4 linked regions of the Ovis aries genome follow. Each later gene encodes a partner of the first gene's protein in a complex. Links are inferred from orthologs where the notes say so. Each region holds a gene or a part of one and is shown in the gene's direction. Other genes may lie near its edges.

Evidence for each region.
Region 2: EXOSC8 (region 1) and EXOSC4 share a complex: the UniProt entries of both Homo sapiens proteins name them as parts of the RNA exosome core complex. The link is inferred for Ovis aries from reciprocal best matches to the Homo sapiens genes EXOSC8 and EXOSC4.
Region 3: EXOSC8 (region 1) and EXOSC6 share a complex: the UniProt entries of both Homo sapiens proteins name them as parts of the RNA exosome core complex. The link is inferred for Ovis aries from reciprocal best matches to the Homo sapiens genes EXOSC8 and EXOSC6.
Region 4: EXOSC8 (region 1) and EXOSC5 share a complex: the UniProt entries of both Homo sapiens proteins name them as parts of the RNA exosome core complex. The link is inferred for Ovis aries from reciprocal best matches to the Homo sapiens genes EXOSC8 and EXOSC5.

What each region holds. Positions count from the first base shown.
Region 1 is NC_056063.1:24,976,405-24,980,422, reverse strand, and holds part of EXOSC8 (exosome complex component RRP43), read left to right. Parts: intron 1-341; coding exon 342-415; intron 416-2,196; coding exon 2,197-2,242; intron 2,243-2,952; coding exon 2,953-3,058; intron 3,059-3,142; coding exon 3,143-3,188; intron 3,189-3,943; coding exon 3,944-4,018. UniProt on the Homo sapiens protein: Non-catalytic component of the RNA exosome complex which has 3'->5' exoribonuclease activity and participates in a multitude of cellular RNA processing and degradation events.
Region 2 is NC_056062.1:13,709,695-13,714,654, reverse strand, and holds EXOSC4 (exosome complex component RRP41), read left to right. Parts: upstream 1-1,965; 5' UTR 1,966-2,024; coding exon 2,025-2,195; exon of another isoform or gene 2,196-3,143; coding exon 3,144-3,350; exon of another isoform or gene 3,351-3,373; intron 3,374-3,447; coding exon 3,448-3,807; 3' UTR 3,808-3,856; downstream 3,857-4,960. UniProt on the Homo sapiens protein: Non-catalytic component of the RNA exosome complex which has 3'->5' exoribonuclease activity and participates in a multitude of cellular RNA processing and degradation events.
Region 3 is NC_056067.1:1,304,627-1,309,096, forward strand, and holds EXOSC6 (exosome complex component MTR3), read left to right. Parts: upstream 1-2,086; 5' UTR 2,087-2,129; coding exon 2,130-2,948; 3' UTR 2,949-3,366; downstream 3,367-4,470. UniProt on the Homo sapiens protein: Non-catalytic component of the RNA exosome complex which has 3'->5' exoribonuclease activity and participates in a multitude of cellular RNA processing and degradation events.
Region 4 is NC_056067.1:50,092,536-50,097,840, reverse strand, and holds the start of EXOSC5 (exosome complex component RRP46), read left to right. Parts: upstream 1-1,901; 5' UTR 1,902-1,902; coding exon 1,903-2,236; intron 2,237-5,305. Other genes in the region: BCKDHA (2-oxoisovalerate dehydrogenase subunit alpha, mitochondrial), read right to left, coding at 1,483-1,590. UniProt on the Homo sapiens protein: Non-catalytic component of the RNA exosome complex which has 3'->5' exoribonuclease activity and participates in a multitude of cellular RNA processing and degradation events.

The sequences.
Region 1 (4,018 bases):
TTCGGTTGACCCTTGAACAGTGAGGGGGTTAGGAGCACTGACCTTCACAGAGTTGAAAATCCAAGTATAATCTTACCGTTATGGATTGGCACTCCGTATCCAAGGTTCAGCATCCTTAGATTCAACCAACTGTGGATCACGTAGTACTGTGGAAGTATGTATTGAAAATAATCTTTGTATAAGTGGACCTGTATAGTTCAAGCCCATGTTGTTTAAGGGTCAACTATAATTTTACCAAGACTCAAGCAAGGAGTAAATTTTCACGGACATCTTAGATATTTAGAGATAAAAATCATACATAAAAGAAGAAAACATTTTCATTTTAAAAAAATACTTTTCAGGTTCGATTGGTACCGCAGATGGTTCTTCTTTAGTGAAGCTTGGAAATACTACAGTAATTTGTGGAATTAAAGCGGTAGGTTTAATATACTTACTACCAAGATTTGAGTTACTAAGTTAGCTTCATATACTTAGTAGATTATAATATACATCTATAATTCTACTGTTGATTGGGCAGTCAGGTGTTTTAGTATTTGTTTTCATTTCCCAAGTTTTAACCTTTGAGTTTTAGATAATACAACCCAAGTTTAATGACTTAATTATAATTTGTGAACATTTGCAAATCTGCTGAAACAATTTTTTAAAAAATCCTCACTGCCTTTAATTTTTAAAGAATTTGGCTGTAATTTGAGAAATTTTAAGGTATTTTTGGTGACATATTTTTATCCAGTGATGGCATTTAATCTGTGCAAATGTGTAGAAAATTGCTCAAAAGTTTGAGGGAGTAATAGCTACCGTTTACTGAGTACTTGCTGTTTCTAGCACCTTATGTTGGGTACTTTCAGAATTGCCCAGTTTAATCATGAGAAACGCTGGGCTAGAAGCAGCACAAGCTGGAATCATGATTGCCAGGAGAAATATCAATAACCTCAGATATGCAGATGACACCCCCCTTACGGCAGAAAGTGGAGAGGAACTAAAAGCCTCTTGATGAAAGTGAAAGAGGAGAGTGAAAAAGTTGGCTTAAAGCTCAACATTCAGAAAACAAAGATCATGGCATCTGGCCCCATCACTTCATGGGAACTAGATGGGGAAACAGTAGAAACAGTGTCAGACTTAATTTTTTGGGTCTCCAAAATCACTGCAGATGGTGATTGCAGCCATGAAATTAGAAGACACTTACTCCTTGGAAGGAAAGTTATGACAAACCTAAATAGCATATTAAAAAAGCAGAGACATTACTTTGCCAACAAAGGTCTGTCTAGTCAAAGCTATGGTTTTTCCAGTGGTCACGTATGGATGTGAGTTAGACTGTGAAGAAAGCTGAGAGCTGAAGAACTGATGCTTTTGAACTGTGGTGTTGGAGAAGACTCTTGAGAGTCCCTTGGACTGCAAGGAGATCCACCCAGTCCATCCTAAAGGAGATTAGTCCTGGGTATTCACTGGAAGGACTGATGCTGAAGCTGAAACTCCCAATACTTTGGCCACCTCAAGTGAAGAGTTGACTTATTGGAAAAGACCGTGATGCTGGGAGGGATTAGGGGCAGGAAGAGGAGAAGGGGACGACAGGGGATGAGATGGCTGGATGGCATCACCAACTTGTTGGACATCAGTTTGGGTAAACTCTGGGAGTTGGTGATGGACAGGGAGGCCTGGCATGCTGCAGTTCGTGGGGTCGCAGAGTCAGACACGACTGAGCAACTAACTGCACTGAATCCTCTGAAGAGTCACTGGAAATTTTTCTCTCCAAATACTTGAGTATAAGCTGACTCCAAAGTCTCTGCTTTGACTACACTGAGCTCTGAGTTAGTCTAAGCTGAGATTCTTCCTCAATAAATGGGGTGACATTTCATAAGACTTGCCAGTTTAGGGGCTTAATATTGTCTCGAGGTTGGGGTTTAAATTCAGATTCTTGGCTACTGAGTAAGGAGAAGAGTGGTGGGGCAGAACTTTTAAGAACCTCCGGTCATTTTGCAGAGGTGCACTAGTCAGCTTTGCCATACTGCCTTCTTGCCTTGCAGAGCTAGTGCGAGTGGTGCTGATGTCTCCAGAGCCCCTGACCCACCTTCCCAGGCACAGTGGATGCTCATGTTGCTAACTAGCTAAGATGGTCTTTGGTAGAGCCTTCCTTGACTGATTGCTGCCTTCACAATTCTCTAGTAGCTTCTTTCATAGGAAACGTTTGTATGCTTCTAGGAATTTGGAGCACCACCAACAGATGCCCCTGATAAAGGATATGTTGGTAAGTTAAACGGTTTTGTAATTTTTTAATAAATAATATTATAGTTAAATCTTAGTGGGTGAATTGAAAATTATTCAGAAGCTTCAGACAGTCCTGAAAAGTTTGATGTATGTTAGAAGATAGTGTAAATTAAGTTAAATAATCCTGTTAAATATTAAAATTGTTAAAAGAAGATAGTATAACAGCAAGGTACAGAATTTTTTAAATACCTTTGTCATACTTCTTTGACCAGTTTATACAGGTGTCATCAACCATCAGCCTTTGACTCTTAGGCAAAGGGCTGTAATTGCAAACTTCTATTTCCATAAACACTTCCTTTATACCACTATGATTTTCTTTTTCTTAATTTGGACCATCCTTTCTTTACAGTGGGAACCAGCATTTTAAAAATGCAGAACAGCTGGTATGATTAGTGAGGCTATATACTGTTACAGATTGGGGTACTTTGAAAGAAACCTAAAAACTTTTGTGAATAATTTACAATTGAAGGAAGTCTTAAATGCTTGGGGTGCTGTGTAGTGCTGTATTATTTTTGTGCAGAGAAAGTCAGAAAATATAAATTTTTATCTAAGCCTAAGATTTTCACGAAAAATGGAAAAGAATGTAATTGATGTGTTATATAATGCTTTCCACTTGCCTTTGTAGTGGATAACGCCTTTAAAACTAAGCCAAAGGTGAAATCTGGTTCACAGCTGCAGTGTTTCTTTCAGTTCCTAACGTGGACCTGTCACCTCTGTGTTCGTGGAGATTTCGGTCTGGCCCTCCTGGAGAAGAGGCCCAGGTGGCCAGCCAGTTCATCGCAGATGTCATTGAGAAGTAAGAGTATCATGATGAAGTCTGACTGTCATTCATTTTAGAGTTTTTGAACATTTGTTTACTGTGCTCTGTCTTTAAATCAAGTTCACAGATAATTCAGAAAGAAGATTTATGCATCTCTTCAGGAAAGGTAAGAGGGAGTAAAGAAGCTGTGAGTTTTTATTAATTCTGAAGTGTTTTTTGGGGTGGGGAAAATTTAAAAAACACACTAGGCTTAAATACAGATATCTTGTTTCTAGATGGAGTTGAAAAAAAAAAATCACTCCTACTCTGTAACTATCTAGATAAACTGTAGTTCACCAAAAAAACCCAGTAAATTTTGATTATATCTTCTTTTAAGCTTATGTAATCTTTTTGCAACTAATAATGCAGTCATTTAAAATTTTTTTCCAGCAGAAAGTTAGTATCTGATCAGCTAATGTGTTTAAGGTGAATCCACATTATAAATTTCAAGTCTGTTTGAAAACTTTGAACTACACTGACAAGTACCTAGAGGCTTTTCATGTTTGATTATATTGATTTATTAAGCAGTGTAAGACCTAAAAATTTCATGTATTAAGGTTTCTTTGGTAAAATACATCTTGAGTCTCATTTGGGCTTTTCAGAAGCAATTCCCTCATCTGCTAACTTAGCAGTAAGAATGGAAATTCCTCCTACATCTGTAGCTCCCTTGAGGGGAAATGGAGATGTTTACTTGTCAGCTTTTACCAAACTTTTAGAAGCCAGCTTTTACCCAACTTGCTCAGTTTTTTACTTTATAAAGGTGAATTTTTTCTCAAGTTTTTGCCTCAAAAGTTGATTGTTTAACCAAGGATGTGGTTTGTGAGTAGAAACAAATACCACTTTATACCCATCAGAAAGCTTTCTTTGTCAACTCTGTTTTAGCTTGCTTGGGTTTTGTACTGTGATCTCATTTGCCTCAACCACGATGGAAACATTTTGGATGCTTGTACCTTTGCT
Region 2 (4,960 bases), on another chromosome or scaffold:
CGTGCGGCAGTATTCCAGACCACCTTGGAGGGGTCACTGGGCCTGGGACTTAGGCCCAAGCCCACCACAGCACGTCTGTTCCACTTGCTCTTCCCACAACTTGACACTGAACTGCTCCTGTGGGCGGGGAGGGAGGACCATGTCATCTCCCCTTGAGCCTGGCAGACCTTGGTGACTGCCTTGACCCACAGTCTGGCAAGAGTGACACTACCTGACTTCTGGAGGCTAGGTCTTAGAACGCCACAAACACCCACTTTGTCTTGGGAGTCCACCTTGGTGCCGTGCTTTGCGGAAGCCCAGGCTGGATGGAGAGGCCACATGAAGATGTGCTCTCTCTCAGAGCCTCAGTTGAGCCCTGGCCAACAGCCACCACCTGCCACCAAAGACGTGAAGGAGGAAGGCTTCACGACAATGCCAGTCATCGCCAGTCACCAATGACCACAGACAGGAAAGCCCCGAGTGCACACCGCCCTCAGCCCCAGTGAATGTCGCCTCCCTATAGTCAGTGTCACAGCCCTGCTGATTTATCCTTCCCTATTCAAACCTGAAGCATGGGATCTGGTTTCTAAGCACTGCAGAGGGGCTGAATAATGCCCTAAAGTTGTGTCTGACTCTTACAACCCCATGGGCTATAGCCCGCCAGTCTCCTCTGTCCATAAGATTCTCCAAGCAAGAAGACTGGAGTGGGTTGCCATTTCCTTCTCCAGGGGATCTTCCCAACCCAGGTCTCCTCCACTGCAGGTAGATTCTTTACCAGCCGAGCCACCAGAGAAGCCCGAATAATGCAAATGAGGAGGGTAATGAGCTCCCTGATGGTGACCTTGACCACCAAGCAAATGGTATCTGGAAACAGGAGGCAGCTGTGGAGGAAAACATCTCATCCCCCCTCCTGTGAGCCCCTCTGCTGTTCCAGGGCATTTGACATCAGGCCACGAAATGCAAGAGGAATGGCAGTAACCCTCTGAAGAGGGAAGGATTATGTAAAAAACTTTTAACATTTATTCCAGGTGGGAAAGGACGGAGAATCTAACTCCCACACAGCCTTCACTCAACCCCGGGACACACATCCACTGCCCACAATGGGGTGGTTGCTGGGTACATTCTACTTATTACTTGATACTCGTATCAACCAAAAAACTATGAGTTCCACAGGATTACTTGGACAGATTTTATATTTTTGAGTTAAATGCAAAAGTGTATGAAACAATCGCATTTTAAAAAATAAGAGTTCCAAAGGCCACTATATGGCTGTACATGTACAGCTGCATATACACGTGTCTGTGTGTGACCTGGATGTAATTATGAGTGTGAAGAAAAACGGAGCCATTTTTTAAGCTATAGTAGATAGGGGGATGAGTGCAGAGAAACAAGGCAACATGGAAAATTGAAACTAAAAAATTTGACCATGTGTACGTACAACATAAATGTGTCTGCTTTTTAAACGGACAAATGTAAAAACTAAACGGTTTAAAGAAAAAAAAAAAACAACTGCGAACAGAGAGTGTATCTCAGCTTGGGAGAAGGCCTGCATTTATGACCGCGGAAGAACTTAAGACCAGCAGTGGCGGCTATCGCCCGCAAACCTCGAGGGAGATACCAAGCGTCAAGCAGAAGTAAAGGAGCGCCAGCGGCGCGGGAAGCGCGGGGCTCAGTGGAGAGGCCGAGGGAGAGGCGGCGGCGCGGGGCGGGCAGGCCCGGATGGTAGAGGGAGCCGTCCCCATGACCAACCCGGGAAGAAACGACACGGCGACTCCACGTCCGGCATGCCTCCAGCCCTGCAGGCGCGAGTGCGTACCCCAAAAGGCCGCAAGGGTCCCTCCCCGGGCCCACAGCCGCAGTTCCGCAAGGACCGGAAATGAGATGTGGTGCCCTCGGGAACTCTGGGAGAATCGCAGGGGTCCGGAACCGGAAGTCGGAGTCGGTGCCCCGGAAACCGTAGTCCTGGGGAATCGGAAGTGGGGAGTCAATTCTACCGGGAAGTGTAGTTCTGCCGGGCGCTCAAGCCTGGCTAGCGCCCGGGCGGCATGGCTGGGCTGGAGCTCCTATCGGACCAGGGCTACCGAGTGGACGGGCGGCGCGCTGGGGAGCTGCGCAAGATCCAGGCGCGGATGGGTGTATTCGCGCAGGCCGACGGTTCGGCCTACATCGAACAGGGCAATACCAAGGCGCTGGCGGTGGTCTACGGGCCTCACGAGGCGAGTGGGCGCGCGCGAGCCGGGCTTCCTCCGGGGGTGGCCACTACGGGCTGTGAGGGGCTACCTGGCTGAGTAGAGGCCTCGGGGGTGAGGCTGGCGCGCGCCGCCTTGTGGGGCCGCGGCCAAAGTCCTAACAGTGTCTTGCACGACGGTCCCTGCCTTTCTCCAGCGCTCGCTACACCGCTTTGTTACTCCTAAAACCGCCAGGGCCGCTCTCACTGGCTCCCTCACCTCTCAGCTCCACTCCGACGTCACCTCTGGGTGACACCTCACCCCATCCCACCCCAGACCACCTTACCTACCCTTTACAAGTCAAGTTCCCTCCTTTACATCCACACACTTATCTGGTTTCCCGCACCCGCCTCCTCAGACATCAGTTTAACTTATTTCTCACTGTTTGTCTCCTCACTGGAACATAAACTCCGTGAAGACAGAGAGTGTTAATAAAACCGCTTGGGTTTATCACCACTCCAGCGCTGGAGACTTAAGGCCAGAGAGGTAGAAGTAAGCATGGCACTCTTGCAGAGCAGAAAGACTGGTGATGGGGAAGAGGGTGGTAATTCCAAATGAGACTGAGGGATTTCTAGGGAAGCAGGAACCCAGGACCTTTGTAAACAGGGAAAAGATTTAGGATTTTTATCTCACGCGTGATGGGAACTCTTTATAAGGTAAGCAGTATATGTATTGTGCAGAGGAGGTAGAATCAGACTTGATATATGTAAACAGATTCTCATACAAAGGAAGCATGGGGTCGAGAGAGGACGAGTCAAGAGGGGAAACAGGGAGGCCTGTCAGGAGAGAGATCCAGGGACGATGGTGGCTTAGAGCCTGGCCCAATGGCCCTCCCTCGGGCTGTGTTGTTTTGCAGGTAAAGTGGTTGCTTGTTGGGATGTTGGAGGTAGAGGGAGGAAGGGCCTGGCTCATGTGTTCTCCCCCACCCTACCCCAGATCAGAGGCTCCCGGGCACGAGCCCTGCCTGACCGGGCCCTGGTGAACTGTCAGTACAGTTCTGCAACCTTCAGCACAGGGGAGCGCAAGCGGCGGCCACACGGGGACCGCAAGTCCTGTGAGATGGGTCTGCACCTGCGTCAGACCTTCGAGGCAGCCATCCTTACACAGCTGCACCCACGCTCCCAGATTGACATCTATGTGCAGGTGAGCAGGCAGCAGCCCTCAGCCTGTGGAGGGGAGAGAGAAAGGAGGAGTTGGGGTTCAGCAGCTTGAAACTCATGCCACTGGGGGGTTCCTGCAGGTGCTGCAGGCAGACGGCGGGACCTACGCAGCTTGTGTGAATGCAGCCACGCTGGCAGTGTTGGACGCGGGGATACCCATGCGGGACTTTGTGTGTGCCTGCTCAGCTGGCTTTGTGGATGGAACAGCTTTGGCAGACCTCAGCCATGTGGAGGAAGCAGCTGGGGGCCCCCAGCTGGCCCTGGCCTTGCTACCAGCCTCAGGCCAGATTGCACTGCTTGAGATGGATGCCAGACTGCATGAGGACCACCTGGAGCAAGTGCTAGAGGCCGCTGCCCGGGCTTCCCGGGATGTACATACCGTACTGGACCGTGTGGTCCGGCAGCATGTACAAGAGGCCTCTGTCTTGCTGGGGGACTGAGCACAGGGCCACCCAAGCCCAGAATAAAACCTAAGCACCTTTCACTGTACTTTTATCTCTTCCCCACCGCACTTCCTTGCCCTTGGATCCTGGCCTGGTGCTGGCTCTAGCAATGACTAAGGGTCCGCCCCCAAGACATGCACTACACACCCCTTGCAGCCTCAGTGCTGCTCACCCTGCTCATCAGGGTGCTTCAGGTGAGCACCCTGAAGAAGGCGGATGTCCCTGGATGAAGTGAGCAGCCTGGGCCAAGAAGGGATTGCTGGGCAGTGAGACACAGCCTGGTATAACGAGCCATGCCCCACGACCATGGAGTCTGTCATTCTCATCCCAACACATCCAGAGTCCTGAGCACAAGTCCTGAGGGGTGGCTTTGGGTATTCACTATGGTCATGTGGGGGCCGTGTCCCACATCCTCTGGATTGTGGCTGGGACTGAAGGGTCTCTTGCCCTCTAGAAGCCTTTTGGGCCTGTCCTGCTACTTCCCTTGGGCTCCAAAAGTACAACAGACACATAATGTCACCTGGCGTCTTCTCAGTCCTGACCCTAAGACAGACACTGCCTGCTGCCCCACCACTGCACCTTCCTCTTTCAGGCTCCCCCTTCTTCCACCTCAGACTTGACTGAGCCCTCACCACCAGGCCCTGCAGCCTGAACCAAGGGGCTGCTCCTTCTCTAATATCCCAGGCACCTCCTGGCCCAGACAGGGGTGCTTCCCACTTTCTACTCAACACACCCCAGCTCCTTTGAAACCCCTTGGCCAGTAGTTTCATGCACCTTCTTCCCTGTGGTCATCGGACCCCAGTGATCTTGGTTCTGGACACATGCCTGATTCCACTCGGCTGGTTTTGGTTATTGACATCCATAGGAATGGACCCACCAACCCCTTGGCCTCTCTGCGGAAGCCCCCTCACATCCTACCACGGCTGTTAGACCGGTCAGTGCCAGTGGGAGCACCTTCAGAGATCTGGCGTCTGTGTTCTTATCGCCGCTTCCGCTTTTACTCCCAGCTGCCCTATTCATCACTCTTCTCTGATTCCAGTTGGAGCCGAGCTTTCTCGGGCGGCCGGTAGTCTTCATTGCCTCCGGTGCGGCACACTGCGGGTAGCCTACCTGGGGGCCGCTCTCTCTGGACGGGCTACAGGCTGGGGAA
Region 3 (4,470 bases), on another chromosome or scaffold:
CCTCCCCCCTGGTGCATACGTTTTACATGTGTGTGTGTGTGTCTCTGTGTGTGTGTGCCTGCGTGCGTGTATGCGTGTGTGTGTGCATGTGTGTGTGCATGCGTGCGTGCAGCCTGCTGGAGATGCCATTCTGTTGCCCACCTGTCACCTCCCTAGTGCCCTCAGCCTCAGGCCCTCCCCCCCGGTGCATACGTTTAACCCTGCTGGCTCTGCTGCTCCGTATGCATCGCCCTGGCTGTGGTACCAGCTGTATGATCTCAGCCCTGGCGGCATCCCTCGGGGCAGGATTGGGTGTCTGGCTCCAGCCCTCTCCTTGTCTGCCTTAATCCCGTTCTCAGTCCTGACTCCCGCTCTGCCTTCCTGTCTTCTAGAATGCAGCCAACCGGGGCCTGAAGGCCAGTGAGTGGGTGCAGCAGGTGTCAGGCCTGATGGATGGCAAAGGCGGTGGCAAAGACGTGTCTGCTCAGGCCACGGGCAAGAACGTGGGCTGCCTGCAGGAGGCGCTGCAGCTGGCCACCTCCTTTGCCCAGCTGCGCCTGGGAGACGTGAAGAACTGAGAGGGAAGGGCAGGTGCGCCAGGAGGCATCTCCCCCGCTCCCCGACCCAGGCACACCCATCCAGCCAGCTCTCCTTCCACCACAAGGACGTTTGAATCTTGAGACCTTTAAACAGTCCCATCTGTCCTAACCCAGCAGTAACCGGAACTTCACCTGAGAGCCAGCCTGTGACTCAACGCCCATGTTACATTTCTGCCCTGAGCACATCCGTGCCGTCCACCTAGAACTACTACCCCAGGATTGCTTTTTCATCATCACACTTGTGTCTGTAGAGAGTTCTTTGCAGACTCAGTGCTATGGGCCTCAAGGGAAGAATCATTTTCTGCTGCAGAGAATAAAAAGGCCATGTGCAATACTTGACAGGATACCGCCACGTGATTCTTTTACTCCTCCTCCCTTCTCACCCTCCCTCCTGTGATAACTTGTGCTTCCCTGGGTGTCTGTAGACTAGTGGCTGTGGTTCCAACTGGTTTCTGGTTGCGGCCCTTGCTGAGTCCAGCCCCAGACCCCTGAACTTTGAGAATAATGGTGCCTGGATTTGCGTCAAAACATCTATGGGGATGGCTCACAGAATAGGGTGATGAAGATGGTCCCTGGGGTTGCTGGCAGCGGAGAGCGTCTTCGTTTTTGGTGCTTTTTACAGAAGAACATTCTCGTTGATAAGTCTCCTATGTCTTTTCCTCTCCTGATGTACAGGTTGGATGTGAGGTCAGAGACATTCCTTGGTATAGGAGGTTTTTAGGGAACATCAGTTGCCTCCTCCCAACACCCTTGACTGCCAGGTCATTCCAGGTTTCAGGACCTAACTTGGACGGTGAAGATGGAGACTGACCTGGTTCTGTCCATTTACCCCAGCCTGAAGACAGCTGGGTGTGGGAGCTGTAGTGTGTAGTATTTAGTTGTGCCCTCTCTGGCTGACTTCAAGTCCCCTGGGTACAGCAGGCTGGCCCTGAATCATTCTCAGCCCTGCTGACTTGGAGGGAGCAGAAAAGCAGGTTTGTGCTGAGAGAAGAAGCAGAGACCACCAGTCACAAGGCCTGGGGGTGAAGAAGAGGAGAAACAGGAAGGGTGCTGAGGCCCTGGCTGCAAAAAAGCAAGCCAGGTGAGGAGTGTGAGGGATACAAAGCTCACACAGTCCGCAGCGCGGGAGCGAGTTCCAAAAGCACTCCACAAGCTGTGCCAGCCAGGGCGCAGTACCAAAGGGCCCTCTTGGACAAGGCGGCGGGGGAACATGTATACGGTTGTGTCACTAGTGTAGGACCGATTACAGCTTCACAAGTGAGAGGAAGAAGACCCACGCGCTGGGCTTGCGCTGGCGTGAAGGCTAGAGGTCAGCGGGGCCGGTCTAGACCCCACTTCTGCAGGCCCGTCTGATCCACCCATGCACCCAGCTCTGGCCGTCCTCGCGGTGGCCCGGGGCTCCGCGACGCGCACCGTCCCCCTCCGGGGCGGCAGGGGGCGGTGTGGCGCCAGCCGCTCTCCCGCGCACCCTCGCGCGGCCGGGCAGGCGGGCGGAAGCGCCGGCGCGCGGGGCCCCGCTGACCCGCGGAGCCGGCCGGCAGCAGCGCCGCCATGCCCGGGGACCACCGCCGCATCCGCGGGCCCGAGGAGTCGCAGCCGCCGCAGCTGTACGCGGCCGACGAGGGCGAGGCGCCGGCCCCTCGCGACCCGGCACGGCTGCGGCCGGTGTACGCGCGCGCCGGGCTGCTGAGCCAGGCCAAGGGCTCGGCCTACCTGGAGGCGGGCGGCACCAAGGTGCTGTGCGCCGTGTCGGGCCCGCGCCCGGCCGAGGGCGGTGAGCGCGGCGGCGGCCCGGCCGGGGCGGGCGGCGAGGCCCCCGCGGCGCTGCGCGGCCGCCTGCTCTGCGACTTCCGCCGCGCGCCCTTCTCGGGCCGCCGGCGCCGCGCCCCACCGGGCGGCGGCGAGGAGCGCGAGCTGGCGCTGGCGCTGCAGGAGGCGCTCGAGCCGGCCGTGCGCCTGGGCCGCTACCCGCGCGCGCAGCTGGAGGTGTCGGCGCTGCTGCTGGAGGACGGCGGCTCGGCGCTGGCCGCCGCGCTCACAGCCGCCGCGCTCGCCCTGGCCGACGCGGGCGTCGAGATGTACGACCTGGTGGTGGGCTGCGGCCTGAGCCGCGCGCCGGCGCCCGCGCCCGCCTGGCTGCTGGACCCCACGCTGCTGGAGGAGGAGCGCGCCGCCGCCGGCCTCACCGTGGCGCTCATGCCGGTGCTCAACCAGGTGGCTGGGCTGCTGGGCAGCGGGGAGGGCGGCCCGACCGAGAGCTGGGCGGAGGCCGTGCGCCTGGGGCTCGAGGGCTGCCAGCGCCTCTACCCCGTTCTCCAGCAGTGCTTGGTGCGGGCCGCCCGCCGGAGGGGTGCCGCTGCGCCCCTCTGAGCCAGAGACCCGAGCAACGACGGACGCCAAGGACCGACCCGCAGCTGCCGCCACAAGGACCCGCGCCGTCGGCCTGCAGATGCGTGCGCCGAGCTGAGAACCGGGAGCACCGCGGAGGATCTGCGGAGGCGTGCTCAGAATAGCCGTGTTGGAGCGATTCTTTCCAGACTGCTTCGTTAAAGAAACTTTTCTAATTGAGTTGACTCCCAGCCACGATCCAGTTGAAGAAACCTGCCAGCGCATCTTGACTCCTAAGTTGGAAAGGACTTCCGCTGTACTCATCGGGAAAATGATGCCTATGCAGGCCAGCCGGGGGCTCCCTCCTGAATAACTGGGCTGCTTTTGAGAGCGGGGACAAGGAGGCTGTGCCTTCCACGTATATCTGAACCCAAACAAAAACTCTTTTTATAATCTGAAACATTCTGTTGTTTTTGGTACCGACTTTAATGAATAAGGCTCTTCTGAGCTGGGGACTGTGTTCTCAGGGCTTGGGACAAGCATTATCTTTAATGTGTCCTGGGGTTGCTGGTCCACTAGTGAGAGGGCACTTGAACTGCCAGGAGTGAGAGTTTCTGGATGCTGGAGATGCCATTCTGTAGGGCAGAGCGGGTCTGTCTGACCAGGAGGGTGGGCTCTGCCCTGTGTGGCTCCTGAGCCCTGCAGGTTTGTGCTCAGGTCTGAGTTGGCGAAAGGGCCGCCTGGGGTCCTCCCTGCACCAGCTTGGTGTAACCTGAGCTTGTGTGTCTTAGGGGCCTGCTCAGCTGTAGGAAAGGCTGGCTCAGGCAGCTGAGAGACCAGAATGAGGCCTGGGGACCACACCAAGAATCCCTGACTAGGGGGAAAAATACAAATTTTATTTGACCCCAGTGACATAATATATATTTCCAAATCAGATCTGAAATACAGAATCACAGCAGAAAGAAACAAGATAGAAACAAAGTAAAAATGGTAACCCTGTGGACGCTCAAACAGGACTGGGGGCTTTGAGAGGGAAGAGAGCTGACGCTGCTCCGGGGGGGTGGGCATCCAGCTCCGCTTGCAGGAGCGGGCCTCAGCTCTATGAGATGGTGTGCTGGTGCCGGGCAGCTGCGGGCCGCCCCCTTCCCTGCAGCATCTAGACTGCCATCTGGACAAAGCTAAAACCAGCACTAGGGCCGGGTGCCTGGCTGGTCTGGCTGAGCCACGCCTCCATGTCCCTGGCTCCAGAATGGGTGGCGTGGGTGCTGCTGAGAGACCCTTGAGAAAACACTCAAGGCAAGGACGGTGCCTGGAGCTGATGGGCCTGGAGGGGTTCCAGCCTGCTACTGACAGCCCTGGTCTGACGCCTGATTCTTGACCTGTAGGAGAAGCAGAAGCAGGACCCTAGCACAGAGGGCCAAGCGCGGTGAGGCTGGCAAGGGGCCATCTACTTACAACTCCCAGCCTCCAACCCCCGTTTCCCTTTCCTGGCAGCTCTGGCATCTTGGTGTTACTGTAGATTCTTCCTGAGACCCGTGAACCCAGAACCACCAGACGCATGGCA
Region 4 (5,305 bases), on another chromosome or scaffold:
TAGGTCTTCCCACACATTATTCACAGCCCATCCTCCTCCCATTTCTCCCTCTAGCAAGAGCTTCGCCCCAAATTCCATTTTCCTTTCCTAATGGTTTGGGATCAGATGGTCAGACCCAGCCCCACAAGGTCTGGACAGAATTCCCGCCAAGGCCTTCACCAATCCAGGCCTTTCCCAGGTCACCTCCCTTCTTCTCCCCCCATTTCCGAGGTGAGTTTTTGTCCCATCCCTCCAACCTCACTTTCAACAGTGGCTAACACTCCAATTGCCCTCATCATATGCCAGATCCAGTTCTTAGCACTTTACATATTTAATTTTCACAACAACTCTATGAGGTGACCATTGTTAGCATTTTACAGAGAGGAAAATCAGGTCCAGAGAAGAGCAGTCCCTTGCCCAAAGCTACAGAGCTAGAAAAAGGCAGATTACAGAACACCGCCTCACATGATTTAGCACGAGCCAATCTTCTTAACCACTACTCTGTTATATGCAAAATCTCAGTTCACAGCTTTTCTCAAGTCCCCTGCCTCTGTCTCTCTAAATAGTGGTTCCCATCTACATTTCTGCTGTGCGAGCATGCCATTAGCAGCATCAATCTAAAAGGAGTCTGCTCCTTTTGACAAGAAACAAGGCATTTCTCCACTGTTTCTCAGAAATATGGAGTAAGTGCTCTGCCAGGACCTCTCCCCTCATTAGTTCAACAAATATTCACTGATCACCTCCGCCTTAGAGTGACCAAAACCAACAAGGTCCTTGGCTACCGTTCTATACCGGAGGCACAGGCGCCACGACTTTTTATAAGTATTTTATCTTTATTTATTTGGCTGCACTGGGTCTTGCAGTTATGGCATGCAGGATTTTTAGCTGCAGCATACGAACTCTTTAACTGCCGGCACGTGGGACCTAGTTCCCTGATCAGGGATGAAACCCAGGCCCCCTGCATTGGAAGCGCGGAGTCTCAGTCACTGGACCACCAGGGAAGTCCCAGAAAGATTTTTTTTTTAACGCAGTTTATTTAAAAATCAGAATTGGAGCAAAGAAACACGGGGCACCATAAAAGTCCCTGAAAGGGCAACTGATGTCTCTCTCCTCCTCCTTGAAAGTAGACCGTATTGAGAAGAAAGTCTTTCCCTTACAAACACAATTTTCTCCAGCTCCTGAGGGGAGAGGTCACACCCTTCTCCCGTATTCTCCAAGCGGCCTCCCCTGGGGATGGGCGGCAATTAAGTAACTACCTCGCTCTCTCCAAGTTTTCTCCCTCCCTTAGGGTCACAAAGGAGCTGCCTGGCTTTTCTTCTCCTAAGGAAGTGGAAGTTATTCCCTTGCATGTCCTGTCCAAGTGGTTCTCCCAGCCCTCGTCCTTTCTCTCACAGCCCTTCCTTCACTTCCTACAGGGACCTAAGGGAACCCCCTCTCTCTGAAGACTGCATAAACATTCCTATACCTCTTTCGAGAAAACTTTCAGGTGCTCCAGGTACTCACAGATCTAGCCAGCCCACGAGCCCCAAGCAGCCGCAGGAGCGGGAGGCCCGCCCGTCCCAAGCCTCGACTTGGTCTCCAAACCCTCGCCGCCGCAGCCGCCACCGCCATCTTGGCTGACCATCCCTCGGAGATCCGCCCCTCTCCTCGGCGAGACCGGGGCTGCCCCTTCATAAGCCTGACTCAAATGCCAGCAACACCCTGCCAAGAAACCATACGCTACTAGTTCTGCAGCCTCTGGGACACACATGTAGGTGCATAAAGCCACCTAACTTCCCAAAATTACTCTGACCGCCTCACGTTAGTTATTCCTGTAACCGGCAAAGAAGAGGACAACCCGTCCAGAGCCTCAGGGTTTCAGGGCCGGGGGCCTCGGGTAGGACGAGCTCATGCCAAGGCCCGCCCACTCTTCTCTTCTGTCCAATGGCTTTCCTGGACTTTCGAGGCGGGAGTGGGAGGGTCCAGATTGTTAGTAAACGCCGAGCCACGTGCGGGCGCCACTCCTGGAGCCCCCGGGTCGGCGCGTGCGTACAGCGTACGCACCTCGTACGCAAGCGCGCGCTTCTGGGAGGAAGCAACAAGCCCCGGCTGCACGTGGGCTCCGGGGCTATGGAGGGGGCAATGCAGACTGAATCGAAGATTCGGGCTGATTCTCGGACAGAGCCCGGCCCTAGGGGCCCCGGCTGTAGCCTCCGGCACTTTGCCTGCGAACAGAACTTGTTGTCCCGGCCTGATGGCTCTGCCTCTTTCCTGCAAGGTAGGAACTACTAGGTTGTATTATTTGGTGGGGCGGGGGGCGGTTACAATGTATCGCGCTAGCTGGTAAAAATCTCTCCTGAACTAGTGCAGTTCTTGCCTGGGTGGACACTACTGTATACGCAGGTAGACATATATCTCTCCCTCCAGACTAGCAAGGAGAAGATTGTTAAAGTACGCAGAATGGGAGAGGGCAGACCGCTTCTAAAGAATGAATACTCCAGAATAGGGGAAATATTCTTACCCCGGGGTCTCCCTTGACTGGATTCCTCTCCGGTTTCCCATACACGCACCCTGGGTCCATACATCCCAGGCTGAGGCAAACCTGTTTGTTTGCATAAATACCCAGTGGACTGTCAGATCACCACTTCTGGTGTACTCCCTAGCCCGGTGGCAGATCTTTTATCCAAATAGTTACTTCTCAGATGGATGGTGATGTCCCCAGCCCCACCTCTTGGGTAAATGTCCCTTTGGCTGGGATACACAACTCTGCTTATATCCCTAAGATTGGAGCAGTTCTTACCTATTAGGGAAATATCCCCTTTTCCTAGCTAAACAACTCTGAAACTAGACTCAGTTCCCTGACGCCTCTGAGGGAAATGTTCCTCTGGAGATAGGCCTAAGGGTCACCCCCATAAATGCTTCAGACCCTGCTCTAGGGCATTACCTGAAACCCAAATACAAAACCTGCTTTCATTCATTCTTTCATTGAACATGTACCTTTGCTTAGTATTGTTCTGGACACTGAGAATAAGTAAATAAATTTTTTAAAAATCCCTGCGGTAACGGATTTGACATTCTTACATTCTAGTCAGAGAGACAGGCAAAAGATAAGTAAAATATGTAGTAGAAAACAAGAAAAATACAGTAAGGGTGTAGATTGGGGTGTGCCAGAGAGGGTTGCAGTCTTAATTAGGATGGTCAGGAAAGGCATCAACTGAGATGGTACCTTTTGAATAAACACTTAAAGATGGGACTTTCCTGGTGATCCAGTGGCTAAGACTGAGCTCCCAATGCAGAGGGCCTGGGTTCAGTCCTTGGTAAGGGAACTAGATCCCACATGGTGCAACTAAGAGTTCGCATGCCCCAACTAAAGATCCTGCGTGTTGCAGTGAAGACCCAGTACAGCCAAATAAAAAAATTTTAAAGCAGTTTCTTTCCCTAAAATTGGCTTTTTGCAGGGGGAGCAAACCCTAAACAGATCAAGAGGAAAGCTTATGAAGCATTAGGAACCACAGGGCCCTGAGGCCAAAACTTGCCTGGTGTGTTTGAGGGACAGTCAGGGGGACGGGGTGCCTGCAGCGGTGACAGGAGGTGGGGTGGCGATAAGGAGACCTGCCCCTCATATAAAGTCTAGTGACTGAGAATGGAGACTTGTGACATGCTCTGAATATATATTTTTTTTATAGATTTTAGACTTTCTGGCTGCAGTGTTGATGGCAAAGGGCACGGGGGAAAGGAGAGGAGGGTGGTGCAGACCAGAGTGGAAGCAGTACAGGTGGTGAGAGTCTGAAGGCAAACTGATAAATTGCAGCTGGTTTGGTTTGGGGGTGTGACAGGGTCAGTTTTTTACCCAGACCAGCTGTGCTGGGAGACAATGAGTTCAGTTGGGAACATTACATTTGCAAGGCCTAATAGACTCTCCCATGGCAGTGTGGATTCGGCAGTCGGACATACAAGGCTGGAATTTGGGAGTCCTTTGGCAGTTCAAGCTACTGATTGGATAGAATCAACAAGAGAATCAATATAGGTGGAGAAGAGAACTTAGAACTTAGCCCTTTGCCTTCTAGCCTGGGTGGAGCTAGGAAAAGACATAGAGAAGGAGCAACTAGTAAGGTAGGAGAAAAACCAAGAGAGGGCAGCGACCTGGAGCCCAGAGAACGTGTCTGAAATGTAAGGACCAACCGTTTTGGTCCGGCTGAGAGACTGAATCGTGAGGATGGACTAGACCTGTGGGTTGACAACCTGGTTGTCTATTGTAGGTGGTGCAGCCAAGAGTCACTCTGGGACTTCCCTGGTTAAGATTCTGAGCTCGTAGTGCAGGGGACACAGGTTCGATCCCTGGTCCAGCAAGCTTCACATGCCTTGCATCACAGCTACTTGAGCCCACACACCCTAGAGCCTGTGCTCCACCACAAGAGAAGCCAGTGCAATAAGAAACCTACATATCACAACGAAGACCCAACGCACAGCCAAAAATAATAAGTAAAATGTAAAAAAGAAAAAGCTGTTCCGGTGGAGGGGTGGAGTCGAGGAAAAGAAAGAGACAGTGAGCAGAGACCGCTCTTCAGGAACTTTGCTGTAAAAGGATAAGATAGATGGGCGAGGAGTTAGATGGATGTGGGGTCCACAGGGGAGGGAATTGCTAGAGCCATGGCCTCAGGAAGATGAGAAGAGAGGCACTCTTGTGCCCAGGTGAAGCACAGACAGTGCCTTTGGAGTAACAGGAAGGAAGACCCCGGTGTGGATCTATTTCTGCTTGGACAATTTCCTCCTCCAGGGTCCATTCTCCTGGAGCCAAGAGAGCCCCTCAGTTGTATAGCAGCTCTTCCTCGCCAGCCCCAGAACAAAAAAGCCTCTGCCAGGGACCTCTCCAGGCTTAGATCTCTTGCTCAGTGCAGGTGCCTGGAGGTTCTTAGAATTTAAGAAATACTGAGCCCCTTGTGTGTTCTAAAAAAGAAAGAAATACTGAGCCCCTTGTATGTTCTAAAACCCCAAAGCCCAGGACCCTGGAGCAGGGTCCTCTGCAAACCCTCACTAGACTCTCCAGTGAGGTTAAAAATGCCAAGCCCCAGAACCCACCTATGCCAACTAAGGCTAGCCCTCTTTGTCCTTATTGATTAGTTGCTCAGTCGTGTCAGCCAGGCTTCTCTGCCCATAGGATTATCCCAGCAAGAATACTAGAACAGGTTGCCATTTCCTCCTCGAGAGGATCTTCCCAACCCAGGGATGCCAGCCCTCTGTATTTTTAAATGATCTGCTGTAGCGATTCTGGTTGCAGGCCTGTGTTTTGAAACCGTGCTGGAGCTCCATGTCTTCCCACTGCAGGTTGCAGGTCCAGCTGCACATT